3 linked regions of the Macaca fascicularis genome follow. The protein of the gene in region 1 interacts with the protein of each later gene in a biochemical or structural test. Links are inferred from orthologs where the notes say so. Each region holds a gene or a part of one and is shown on either strand. Other genes may lie near its edges.

Region 1 (4,362 bases):
GATTCTTTTATTCTCTCTCTTTTAAGAGACACTCTTCTAAAATGACTGTATTACCAAACAAAAATTAAGTTTATTTTTAAATAAATGCTTTTTCTCTTACTTTTATCAGTTCTGATCACAATATTACGAGCACGTCAAGATAAATGAGAATCTATATTCTTAAAAGGTTAAGAATAACAAAGAACACTGAAAAGTGTATGTTCTCAGATTTCTGCTCATGGAATGTTTAAGGCCTTTTACTCCATATTTTACAGGAACCACATGGCTTGTGGCTAGAGAATTTAAATAGCTAACACAATATAAAGAAATTTGGGCCGGGCGCAGTGGCTCAAGCCTGTAATCCCAGCACTTTGGGAGGCCGAGACGGGCGGATCACGAGGTCAGGAGATCGAGACCATCTTGGCTAACACGGTGAAACCCCGTCTCTACTAAAAAATACAAAAAACTAGCCGGGCGCGGTGGCGGGCGCCTGTAGTCCCAGCTACTCGGGAGGCTGAGGCAGGAGAATGGCGTGAACCCGGGAGGCGGAGCTTGCAGTGAGCTGAGATCCGGCCACTGCACTCCAGCCTGGGTGACAGAGCAAGACTCCGTCTCAAAAAAAAAAAAAAAAGAAATTTGGAGAAAAATCATTTTTACTCTGAAAGCAACTACAATTATTAAAAATATTAAAATATCAGTTTTAAAGTAAATTCAGAAGTTCAAATTATTTTAACAGAACCATATAGATTTATCATCAATTTAACAGACATTAATCAACAGTAGACATTATTCAACAATATCAAAAGCATAAAAGGAAACTTCAAATTTTCTTTCGGCATTTTCCTAGGTCAGACTTTTAAAACCAAATTAAGCAAATAACCTCTGTATCTAACATAGCAATGAGAAATTTGTTTAATGTGAAACACACTTATCAAAAGAAAAAAGTAATTCGAAAGGGTAATTTGGTCCTTTACTCGTTTTAAAAGCACAATCCATTTGCCCATCATAAACCAAGTGTACGAGTTACATGTAGAATTCACTTCTCAAAATTTCTAAAAGCAAATCACCAAAAGACTGCTTGAAAAAATAGTTGCAAATAGAAGATGTAGTCTTTTTCCTAAGGTTTCTGAGAACTGAAATGAAAATATCCAAAAGAAAGGATGACTACCACCCTTTAGACTTTAATGAAATGTCAAAGAACTTTCGGAGTCAAATCTCCTAGAAGTCTAATGTCAGGTCAAAGTTGTCTCGACAGCAAAGCCAACAGAGAGATGCCAGGTGACTAACAGTAAACTTATCAAACCGTATAATACAATATATCAAGAATCTCACAGTTCCGGCTTCCTCAACATTTATTCTATTCATTCGGTAAAATTTCTGAATAATGAAAGGAACATGGATTCCAGAGTGATCTAAATCTCAAAATAAGGTTCAAGTGTGTGTTCTCTAGTTGATGTTCTTTTTACTGTAAGCCAAAACCGCTTCTTTATAATAATAATTTTAAAAATCTACAGGTCTGTTTTCAGAGACCTCATAATAGACCCTTCACTGGTGATTAAAATATTATTTTTAATCGTTGCATTACCTCACAGCTAAAAATGTCAAGATACCACACCCAATATGTCTTTTTCACCCCGTGAAGGGGGGTGGGGTGGGAATATGGAAGTGGGGATAGGAAAATACACAGGAATATTAAAGGCGATTTCCCTGGAAGGCATGGGGCAGGCGCGCCGGCACCGGTTCGCAGCTCCGCGATCGGAGGGACGCGTGACGAAGGGCGAGCACAGGCCTCGGCCTCTGCGGGCTCCCTCCCTCGCCACCCGCAGGGGAAGTGGCCGGGACGCGCCGGCCGGAGCTACTCACCGGCCGCAGTGCTGACCAGCAGGATGGTCCATGGTAGCCAGGGCACCCGCCAGGGCCGCTGCAGCGAGGAAGTCATCCCTGGGCCAGCCAAGAAGCAGGAGGGCAAAGAAAAGAAATATGGGAAGTAGAGAGGCGGAGAATCAGCCGGGAGGCTCGTCTTCTCTCCCGTGGACTGATCCTGCCCGTATCACAATGCAGTTTGAAAGGACAAATGGCAGATGAGAGGACCTAGCTGCAGAGCTTTCATGCCGCTGCAGAAATTCCCTTCATTTCTCTCCCCTGCGGCTGGGGGTGTTCCTTCGCCTCGGACGGGGTGCCGCGGCCCTCCAAACTGAAGGCATGTCTGTGGGGAAAGCAGGGAGCCAAGAAGAAATCTCCCAAGTTATTTCCCTCGTAGTTTCACGATATCAAAAAAATATCCAGGTCTGGGAGAAAACATATCCAGGGTGCGGAGGGCGGGGATTCGATCCGGATCCGGGGGGCGAGGGTCAGAACTAGTTCCTGACTGTCGGGAAGGACGAAGCCGGGCGGGCGGCGGCGGCGCCCGGCAGCCCGAGTCGCATCGCCCGCGGCTCCGGGAAGGCAGGATTCCTTAAGTTTCGCTTCGGTGCTTCCTTCACTCTGATTTCGAAAACAACAAATCCTCTTCCTTGACTGGATCCAAAAAGGTGCCTGCCTCCATGACAAGCTCACAGTCCCCACGCCTTCGCGGAACAACCGTGAGAGGGTCGGGGAGGCCCTGGCGAAGGCTGAGGAAACGTAGGAGCGGGGGAGGGGAGGGGTCGCGGCCCCGGCCCGGGCTCCCCGAGACCGCGGGCGGACGGGGTGCGAGAGGCTGCCCCTCCTAGCCCTCTGGCGGCGCTCCCTTCCCTTCCTCGCTTTTTATTCCTGCCGCTCCATCTTGCCTGAGGTAAATTCCACCATGAAAGCCTCGTCTTCTCCCGTCAATGGCTCCTGTGAGCGAATCACAACCCCCCGAGGAAGCCGCCGCCGCCGCCGCCGCCGCCACCGCCTCGTTCTCCCGCAGCTCTGGGCTCCGGGAGGAGCTCGGGCGTCGCGGACCGAGGGCGGGGGGCGGCGGGAGGGCGGATGAAGGTAGCCGGGGAAGGGAGTGGGCAGTGAGGCGGCGAGACACCCTGCGTCCCTCCGGGAAGCACTTCCAGTGGCTCCGAGCAGACCAGACACAAAGGGGGGAGTCGCCGCAGCTGCGAGTCTGCGGCGCTCCCGGTCACCGGAGTCGCCCCGCCTCCGCCGCCGCCTCCGCCTCCTCCTCAGTCTACGGCTCTTCCCGGCCCTGTCTGTCTCTGGCCTGTGGTGCAGCGCGGGCGGCGGCGGCGGCGCCGGCGGCAGGATGAAGCCCGCACTGCGCCTGCGCGCTCACGACCCCGCCCGGCCCCGCCCCTCGTCCCGGGCTGGTTGAGGGCTCCGAGGCCCCAGCGCGGCGCGTCTGTCCCTTGAATGGCCGAGGGCTGGGTGGGGCCGCGGTGGGCAGCGGTGGCCTTTCTCCTTTACACACACATGACTTCCAAACGTGCAAGGCTTGGGATTCGCGTATTTGTTTAAGAGAGGGCGGCCACATCTTTTTGTTAGGCGTTTAGCAGACTCCTCCGATTCCGGGATTTCTCCCGACTGAGGCGTCTCCTTCTCAGTACTCTCGGAGGAAAGCCTCGAGGGGCAGAACTGCCCTCTGTTGTTTCACGGCGCTGGAGCCTCCCTCTCCGCAGCCCAAAGAATCCGGATGGACCCGCCTTTCCCAGAACCGGAGACCTTGGCCTCCTCAGGCTCCCCTCTGACTCAAACAAAAGCCGGAATTGGAAAGACCCCCTCCCCCTTTGATGTGTTTGCTGTAATCGACGTCCTGCTTTCCTCAACCGCCCATTCCCTTAGCCTTCTTAGTTGACAGGAATATTGAGTATTTGCAAGGATGCGAAGCCAGAGAGAGAGAGAGAAAAAGACTTTTAATCTATAAATCATCCCGCTGTGTGCGCGCGTCTGTCCGTACAGCGCGGTGTCCACCCCGAGAGAGGGCCTGGATTCACAAGGCTGGGGGCCTTGAGGGCTTTTTAGGGCACGTGAAAAGAAAATTGAGCTAGAGTTATGTCAGGATAGAGAGTGGGATCATTTTGCACTCAAGTAATTGAGAAGATCCCGTTGGTACCGCAGTTTCCAAGGATTTGTGTAGTGCGTTTTTTCGATCTGGTTTGTACAAGCGACCAGCATCCCTCCCGCCCTTACACCCCGCTGCGGGGTCAGCCGACGTGGGTGGGATTTTGCCGGCGGCGAGGGGAGAAGGTGACGTGCGTGGCGCCATGATCGGAAGTCTGGACTGAATTCTTAGCTGCGAGGTGGAAAATGCGCGTGGGAGGGCGATCTTGAGGGGTGAAGTCTGGCCTTCCCATCTCCCACCAGGCAGGAGGGTTATGCTGAAGGCTGGTTTTGCTGATCTTTTATTGAGGCTAAGGGCAGTTCCACAGATACAGTCATAGACTCCTTAAGTCATGCTCTGCTTGCTTCTTCGAG
Region 2 (4,482 bases), on another chromosome or scaffold:
AAGGTTCAGAGAAGTTAGATGACTTGCTCAAATTCTCAGTTGCTTCCACCATCCCTTAAAGGAGACCTTAGTGCTCTTGTTTTACAGATGAGGCACAGAGATGGGGAGTGACTTGACTAAGGTCACACAGCAACTTAATGTCAAAGCTGGTCCACACTGACCTACAGCCCAATTTTCCTGGCTTCCCAGTGCAAGGATTTTGTTGCCTATGTGTCTTACTCTCCTGAGTGTGTGCGTGTGTTACAGTTGTATGTGTGTGTGTGATTAGGTTCATGTGTGAATATGAAAGAGTATACGTTAATGTTGGGTTCATGTGTGAATATGAAAGAGTATACGTTAATGATGCATTATATGTATAAATGATTGGGCTTGTGTACTATTTGAAGAGCACATATATGTATGTATGTGCATAATCGATCTTGTGTACACGTGTATGTAAGAAGGTGTGTGTGCACATGCGTACGTGTGTGATTCGGCATGCGTGTACATGTGTGATTCGGCATGTGTGTACATGTGTGGTTCAGCATGTGTGTACGTGTGTGAGTCAGCATGCGTGTACATGTGTGATTCAGCACGTCTGTATAAACATAAGGCTATGTATGTTTATGTGAGAAGCTCAGTAGTATCTCTGAATCAGCATGCCCTCCTTCCTGAATACCAATTTGCCATTGGGGAGCTTTCATATATTGCTCTAGAAGGTGACTAATTAGGCCTTTAAACTCCCCATCTCCCCCTCTCGAAGCTCCCTTAGTGCTGGGGGGCACAAGGACTTATTTTATGAGCCCCCAAGGGGTCACAGCTTTCCCTGGCTGGGCAGGCAGCCAGACCACCTCCCCCACCTCAGCCAGACCTGCTGCCTCTGTGCCTCTCCCACCCCCCCACCCCCCGCCCCGGCAGCCCCCTCCAGGCCAGCTCTAATGAGAAACCTCTCCCACCCTCTGACCCCTCCCCCACCCTGCCAGCCTAGGACCAGAGCAAATGAGCTGCAGGCAACTTGAGCGACCAACAGCCCACCTCCCTCTTCACACTAGGAAGAAACTGAGGCCCTCAGAGCGGGAGGGACTTGCTTAGATCACACAGCAAGTGGAGAGGAAAAGCTGCAACAGTAACACTAGGTGGGCAGAGAGAGACAGAGGGGAGCAGAGAGAGGTCTCCCGAGTTAATGTAAGGAGAATGAGGCGTGTTCAGGACAGGACCTAAAGTTTTCATGTCGGAAGCGCTCTCAGAAACCACCCTGTCCAACCCCATATAGGTGTACAGATGGGAAAACAGAGACCCCAAGTGAGAAGGGGCTTTCCCAAGGTCACACTGCGAGTTAGACCCTAGGTCTGCTCCCTCCCCATATATTCGAACATCATTCCATGACTCCAAGATGCCCCATTTACTGTGAGCACCTCTCTTGCCTCCTCTATCCCCTTGCCTGAGGGCAAAGTTGCAGAACCACGGGGACCTCAAGATTCATTTCTTTCTCTGCCATCTGAGACCACCTACAAACCCCTGGAGCGTGGAAAGTTCGGCCAGCCCAGCAGGGACAGATGCACAGCTGGGGAATCAAGTCTTGGAATCCGGTCTCCAACTCTGCCACCAACTGGCAGGTGTTGTCTCCTCTCTAGGCTTTAGTGCCCGCCCTGCACCTTGCAGGCATTGAACCTGGTGATTCCTAGGTGCCCTCCAGCCCTGATGTGTGGGCAGCTCGGGATCTGCTATGTGTGAGATATGTGTGAGCGTCCCCATACACCCACCCCGGGCCAGATGCACACAGTGTCTCCCACCAGGGCAGTGCCAGGGCTTTGAAAGCCCCTCCATTCATGCAGATGCCCCTCCCTCTGAGCCGTGCCCCTGCCACCCCGCCCCCTCACCTTGCCCTTTGTCAATAAAGCTGGTGATGGTGTTGGCCAGGCCAGCCTCCAACTTCACGCTGCTGTTGCCTCCCTTTCTGTCAGCATCGGACAGCGTCCTGTACAGCGAGAGCATGTACTCGTGGGGTGTGATGGGGGGCGGGCGGAACGGCTCCTTGGGCTCTCGCGGGGACCCGGGCTCCCTGGCCTTCTTCAGCAGGAAGGAGCTGGGGACAGATCCTGCTTTTGGGGGTACCTTGCCCCCGGGAAGCTGTCCTTTTGGGGTCACAGTCCGGGCTGTAGCCTGCCTTGTTTGGGGAGGGTGTCCTGGCTTGGGTTCAGGGCCACCCGGTCTGGGGGGCAGCTTTTTGGGTTCATCCTTTTTGGGCTGTGTCAGGCCTCCTGTGTGCCCGGTGCCTCCCTTTGCCCTGGCATTGGCGGCCCCCCCACCATAGCTGTGACCCCCTGGCCTGAAGACGTTCCGGGCCAGGGGGGGCCTCTCCTTGGCCTCTGCTTTGGCCAATCCTGGCCTGGTCCCCTGGGCTTTCTGGCCCCAGTCAGGGGCACCCAACACAGTGCAGATGAATTCCAGGTCCAGCCAAGCCAGGTACCAAAGCAAGAAAGTGAGGAGTTTGGGGAGTCTCATCCTCTGGCCAGCCGCTGAATGACACCAAAGAGAACAGCGGCAGCAGCGAAGGTGCCTCTGGTTTGGCAGGAAAAACCATGAAAGGAGTGGACTTTCAAAAGCAGCGGCAGCAGCAGTAGCAGCAGAAGGAAAGGCTTTCTCCTCAGTCTGAGACTCTTGAAGTCTGCCGGGTGTGTGTTTGTATCCAGTCCCATAGTGGAAATGCTCTCGTATCCAGACGTGCACCGTCTCCAGTCAGCAGCTGAAAATAACTTGTTCTTGAAAGGAGAAAGCCGACCGCCCCCTTTCTCCTGCACAACTGACTGAGGGCTTGAAGGAGGCTTGTATAAGGCTGAGGGATTTTTCCAAGAAGGAAGAATGGCGTAATGCTGCCTGTGTGCTCCAGTTTTTTTTTCCCCCTAGTTTTGAATCCTTTCCAGTGAAAATACTTCACACACACACACACACACACACACACACAGGCCTGCAGGTGCTCAGAAAAATCTTTTACAAACCTGAACTCAGGAATTGGAAACGGAATTCCAACCCAAACCAATTTAATTACTCTCTGATGTCATGCTGTCTAAACTCATTTAAGTGCGATATATTTATGTGAAAAAAATCACCGCTGCCCTTTCGAGGCCATGGCTCACGGGGGCTCTTGGCACAGAGCCCCGCAGCGGGACTCTAGGCTTAGGGGGCCTCCCCCTCCATGGAGCAGACTCAGGGGTCTTCACCTCCACCTCATGGAGCAGCCCACCCCACCTTCCCAAGGAGAGATGCTGAAGAATGAGCTCAAAGATCTTAAGCCCCAGAAGCATGGGGAGTGTGGGTTTGTAGTTAAGTCCTTAGAGTGTTTTTAAAGCAGTTTCAACTCCTGCATCTAGCCTGGGACCTGATTTGTTGTATGTGTGTGTTTATGTGTGTCTGTGTGTGTGTGCCTCTGTGTGTGTGTGTGTGTGTGTGTGTGTGTGTGTGTATTGGGAGTAGGGACAGCACAGATGGCAGCATTTACCCACATTTTCTTTTATTTTAATAAACTTGTGGTGACCCAGAGACTGAAAAATATCTGTGCCCACTACACCCCCTCCCTACCACCAAATGCCATTGACTGAGTGCATATTCTTCAGGCTTGGGGGCACTGCCGCCCTTAAGTCCACTCCTTGGATGGCGGCAGGTCCAGGGTGTACCCCACCTCCACCCCGGCAAAGACGTCCTCCGAGTTTTCTTAGAAGAGACTGGCTGAGTCTGGGGCAGCAGCGGCCCCTACAGGAGGCTGGAAAAGCCATTTCCCACATGATGCTTTTCTTTTTTCTTTTTTCTTTTTTTCTACGGAGTCTCGCTGTGTAGCCCAGGCTGGAGTGCAGTGGCGCGATCTCGGCTCCCTGCAAGCTCCGCCTCCCAGGTTCACGCCGTTCTCCCGACTCAGCCTCCCGAGTAGCTGGGACTACAGGCCCCCGCCACCACGCCCGGCTGATTTTTTATGTTTGTAGCACAGACGGGGTTTCACCGTGTTAGCCAGGATGGTCTCCATCTCCTGACATCGTGATCCAGCTGCCTCGGTCTCCTAGAGCGCTGAGATTATAGGCGTGAGCCACTGCGCCCGGCACAATTTCCCACATGATGCTTTTCTGGTAAGTCTGGAAGTTCTGAATTCCAGCTGAACTCGAGTATTCTAAATGAAAACCCATTGAAGTATGGAAGCTCCCTTCCTCTGGGGGACCTGTGCGATAGAGCCCCTGGGCAACTTACCCCAGGGTCAGCGGGGAAAGCTGTTCACTTCACCTGAAATCTCCTCCTCTCTCTCTCCCACAACTGGAGGAAGCACTCCACATCCTGAGAAGTTTAGCTGAAAATTCACCTCCTTCGGGAAGTCTTTCCTGGTCCCCAGACAGGGCCAATTACCCCTTTTGTACATTTCACTGCAACAACACTTGTTATGCTGTAAGAAGGACGGCCGGGGAGAAGCAATAGTCAGCTAGGCTTTTCTTTTTTTTTTTTTTTTTGAGACAGAGTCTC
Region 3 (4,614 bases), on another chromosome or scaffold:
TGTGGTCATTGGAGAAGACGACAAAGAAGGGCAGGTTTCTGGAACCTGGGGGGACACTGATGTCCAGCTTGTCACAGCCCTTCCTGTGGCTCTCCACAGTCACTTCCAGCTTATTTTTGCTCTTGGTGGAGTCGGACCGGACCCAACGCTTCACGGCGCTGGACACTTCCAAGGTCTCCCAGCCCTCATCCCGAATGTCCTGGGACACCAGGAAGGTCTTGGTCTCCGCAGCACTATCCCAGGCATCTGTTCCATCCAGAACATCATAAATGACCATGCTTCCTTTCAGGTCGTGAGAGTGGTCCATGTGATTTTGACAGGAGACATAGAGTCGGAGCTCAGCTCTGGTGATCTGCTCGTGCCTGGGAATGGAGATGTTGAAGAGCAAGATGTGCTTCTGGAAGGGGAAGTCCTCCGTGGCAGTCATGGAGATGGCATCTGAAATGCAAACACACCTGGTGGGCATCTGCCGAAGGGTCTGTTTCCATGACACTGAAGCTGAGTCTCAGGGTTTAGACAGAAGAGCATCTGGGATAACAGTTTTGGTCTGTATTATCTCTATTTGGTTTCACCCAAGCCCTTAAGGTATAAGAGTATTTTCAAAGGTATACTTAAGATCTTCCAAAGAAAAGCAAAGGCAGGAGATGCCTCTAATTGGGATTGACAGTTCCTACTGTTTATTGAGCATCTACTGTGTGCCAGGCATTACACTGGGAGCTTTGCAGTGTAAATTTCACCTTAATCCTCGCACTCACCCTGGGAGGATCTAATTATTATTCCACATTTGCAGATGTGGAGACTGGGATTCAAGGCAGTTAATTGCCAAAATGCACGCAGCTAGTTAAGTATCCTGGGACTTACTAGCACACAGCTAGTGAGTACATAAAGAAAACAGCAAAACTCACTGTCAGATCCTGAGTGAAGATCCTGAGTACACGAATTTAAAGGCAAGATCCTGGGTAGGGACAGTGAAATCCCAATATTAAGACAATATCAAAAATCTCAGCCTCTAAACAGTGTATGCATCATTTGAAATTGTAATTTCTGAACAAAGCATAAGTGATTAATTGGTTTTAGTGTTTCAGGAAAAAAATCTATTAGCTTCAATTGCTTTGTCATGTCAAGCAAAAATGGGGCTTGCCTTTTAGCCACATAGTTAACTCAATATCCCATTTATCCTGGGCTGACACTTTGTCGTTAGCACACTCCTGCTATACCACGGCTGGTTCACAGACAGGGAAAAGAGGTTGCATTTTCTGGGCACTTGCTATGCGCCCACATGTGTGGAGACCCGGTGCTATAGGGAAACCTAGCTGGCAGGTTTTGAAGTGCCAGTCCTGCCTCTGCAGACTGGTTAGCTCTGGCCTGGATGCGGTATGGAGCCAGGCCCCTAAGCCATTTGCAAGTCTCAGACCCAGGAGGGGAGAGGCTCTGTGCTCCTGGACATTCAGAGGGAGACGGCAGCAGCAGGAAAAGCCGGCTGTGCAGACGGACAGGCCTGGGTCAGAATCCAGCGGCTTAACACTTCCTAGGTGACATGGGTGGGAACCCTTGGTGGCTGCAAGTTTTGACTGAACAGTTTCACTGTTCAGAAACTTATTTCCCCCTGCATCATGTGAGCTTGACTGAGTTAGGACATAGGTCCTAGGTCCGTGTTTGTTATCTTCTAGTCCTTCTAAATCAGATACATTTCTATTTAAAAACAATTAGGTTCTCTTTCAACACTTCTCTGTCAAAGAATTTCATCTGATTTTTAAAACCCTTTCACAAGAAAGGAATAACTGTGCTTTCAAAGTTTAAAAATATACCAGTTAGTTGGAGGTGAAATAGGTTGTCTGTTTTGTTTTGAAGTAGGAAGGGGACAGGAAGGGAAGGGGAAAAGGAAGAGAAGTGAATCAGAGGGGAGAGATGGAAAGAAGAGGAGAGTAAACAGAAGGGGTGGAAAAAAGGGAGCTGGCATCCCTGTGCACATGCTGTGTGAAATGTGGCACACAGCCTGGGGAAGGTGAATCCTTCAGAGCAGAAGCGCCGAGTAGAACTCTCAGTGACCATGGAAATGTTCTGCAGTCTGCACTGCCTGATAGGGAAGCCATTAGCCACACATTTGAAAGGAAGCTGGTGAGGCTAAAGAACTAAGTTTTAATTTTATTTCATTGTAACTAATTTAAATGGAAGCTTGAAGAGCCTCCTATGACCAGCGGCCTCCACCCTGGTGAAAGCAGCTGTGGACCTGTGAGTCCTACCCCAGCGCATCCGGTGCAAGCGGAGACCCTACCTTCCATGCTGAAGCTCCGCACGATGTTGGACGCTGGCGTAGTCGACTTATCAGACGTGTACCTGTTGTACAGATCGATCATGTACTGCGGTGGCTCCACCCTGGTTTTGTCCTGCGAAGGGACCCCGCTCAGGTTAAGGCTGCGCAAGAAATCCACCTTCATGTTCTCCAGAAACATCTTCAGGTTGAAAGTGTGCTCCGGCAGCTCACCTCCAGGCACCCCCAGTGGGTTGTGGGCAGTTCCCCCAGCAGACCCTCGCCCCCAGCTCTGCAGTGGCTTCCCCTGCAGGGAGCCGGCCAGCAGGGACAGCAGGGGCAGGGCCACCCATAGTGCCCCAGGACACATCTTGGGCCCACGCAATCACCCAGAGAGGAGACTGCAGGCGGCCGTACTGTGTTAGCGGGCACGGGGAGGAGCCGGGAAGGAGCGGGTCGGCATCTCCCTGCTGTTTGCTCTGAAGGAACCGTCCTGGCCAGCGCCCACTTTCGCCCGCTGCCGGGCTGGATTGTCCTCCACTTGTGCTTATCTGGTCCTCGATGCCGCGCTCCGACGTCTTATCTGAGGGAGCCTTCCGTTAATGAAGGCTCTATAAACATCTGACAAACACACAGGGCATGTGGGAAGGACACGGCCTACTGTAAGGAATCTGTGCTTCTCCAGGGGGTTATTGCCCCCTAATTAGGATCCTTTCTCATTTCCTTGCCAGGGGTCTTCAGAAGAATCTCCAGGCAGGGTGACATATGCTCCATCTCCTGGGCCACAGTAGTGAAGAATCCAGGAAACAAGACCAAGAAGCCCTCCAAATATAGAAAGGACAGCGCAAGAGCACAGTGAACTGTGGGGGCTGGGGAGATGGGGAGAGTGTGGGGACCACATCAAGGCTCAGAAGAGGCCTGCTCCTTACAGAGTCGGAACCTGCGAGCAAGGCTCCCTGCTCTGTTGGTGGGATGCATTGCTGAGCATTAGAGATCACGAGTGAATATGGCTCTCGTGCAATTTAGTGTGGTGATAAGTCAGACTAGACAGAGGCTGGGATCTCAGCTCCCTCACCGATTCCCTGCAAATGTCACCTGGAACAAGTCACCGCACTCTACGAGCCTCCCATTCAGAAGATAGTTGTAGGGGTTAAGAGGATGCTGTGCCCCAGGCTGGCTTGGTGGCAGCATTCTGGATGCCCCTTCTCCAGCCCACACCTGATTGAGCTGGAGCCCCGGGTTCCCCCAGCCTGCTCTGTCAGAGCTCCACAACACACTGCAGCCTGCAGGGAGCTCCCCACATCCCTGCATCCCAGCTCTGGCACTGGCCTGTTGTGGGGTGGTCTTAGCTCACATTGACTTGGCAGCCACCTGGCCCACACTCATCAGCAGGGAGAACCACGCAATCTGGTAGACAGGGGAGTAGGTGAGTTGTTCTGAGACTGGTACATGCCAAGAAGATGATCCCCTGGCCTTTGGAGGCTGACAAGCTGTGGCCCAGGAAAGGGCCCTAGGGACTGTGTTAAGAGCAGTGTGTCCACACTTAAGACTCTGTCCATTTCCATCATGTGTGGCTTTGAGTACAGCAAAGAAGGAGCATGGTTAGAAATACTCCAGGGTATGCTGTGCCTGGTGGTTTACTCTGGGGAAGATGCTCCATGCTGGTGAGGCTGTCGGGGAGAGGTTGCAGAGAGCTGAGCAGGTTTAGTGGGGTGCAGGAGGGGCCACAGCATGCTGTGGTCAGATTGCAGAGGAGGATGGGTGAAATCAGGAGCCCCTGAATGGCTGGGCCTGGACAGAACTTGCTATCTCTGTCCTTTGATGACATGGGCCAGGGGAAGACGGGAAGCGTGCTGCTTCAGAAATGCTGCTTGGGAAGAGGACTGGAAGTGCGCTGGGCTTTGATCCAGCTCAGCGCAAGAATTCCATGGGGCAGAGAAAAGATGAATAAATGGGTGCCATGCCCAAGAAATGGAGCTGCAAATGCAGAGTGGGGTGTGGTCTGGGAGGAGTGAGGACAGGGCAGATGCCTGCATCGTGGTCTGACCAGGAGCTTTTCACACATGAGAGGCTGAGCAGAGTATGAATAGCCTAGGGGCCTGGATGTGCTCTAGTAGGAGCAAGGCGCTGCTACCTGATGTTATTTTTCAAATGTGACATTTTTTCCCAGTTATAACAGTAGTCTATAGTGCAGAAAGCTTGGGAAATGGAAAACATTGTTAAAGAGAAAATAAATAACCTACAGTTTAATCATCCAGTGATGCTCATGGTTAGCATTTTGAGACACATCCGCTCCACAATCCTATATCTGAAACCCTTGTGGCCAAGAGTGTGTTGCGACTTCGATAGTTTCAGATTTGGGG

Evidence for each region. The genes of interacting proteins can lie anywhere in the genome.
Region 2: the proteins of BMPR2 (region 1) and GDF5 form a complex in vitro, tested with the Homo sapiens proteins (2 studies listed by BioGRID and IntAct, with this or other methods). The link is inferred for Macaca fascicularis from reciprocal best matches to the Homo sapiens genes BMPR2 and GDF5.
Region 3: the proteins of BMPR2 (region 1) and GDF2 form a complex in vitro, tested with the Homo sapiens proteins (2 studies listed by BioGRID). The link is inferred for Macaca fascicularis from reciprocal best matches to the Homo sapiens genes BMPR2 and GDF2.

What each region holds. Positions count from the first base shown.
Region 1 is NC_088386.1:98,234,820-98,239,181, reverse strand, and holds the start of BMPR2 (bone morphogenetic protein receptor type-2), read right to left. Parts: upstream 3,196-4,362; 5' UTR 1,919-3,195; coding exon 1,843-1,918; intron 1-1,842. UniProt on the Homo sapiens protein: On ligand binding, forms a receptor complex consisting of two type II and two type I transmembrane serine/threonine kinases.
Region 2 is NC_088384.1:91,491,782-91,496,263, forward strand, and holds the start of GDF5 (growth/differentiation factor 5), read right to left. Parts: upstream 2,837-4,482; 5' UTR 2,485-2,836; coding exon 1,860-2,484; intron 1-1,859. UniProt on the Homo sapiens protein: Growth factor involved in bone and cartilage formation. During cartilage development regulates differentiation of chondrogenic tissue through two pathways.
Region 3 is NC_088383.1:56,914,164-56,918,777, forward strand, and holds the start of GDF2 (growth/differentiation factor 2), read right to left. Parts: upstream 2,837-4,614; 5' UTR 2,622-2,836; coding exon 2,276-2,621; intron 439-2,275; coding exon 1-438. UniProt on the Homo sapiens protein: Potent circulating inhibitor of angiogenesis. Signals through the type I activin receptor ACVRL1 but not other Alks. Signaling through SMAD1 in endothelial cells requires TGF-beta coreceptor endoglin/ENG.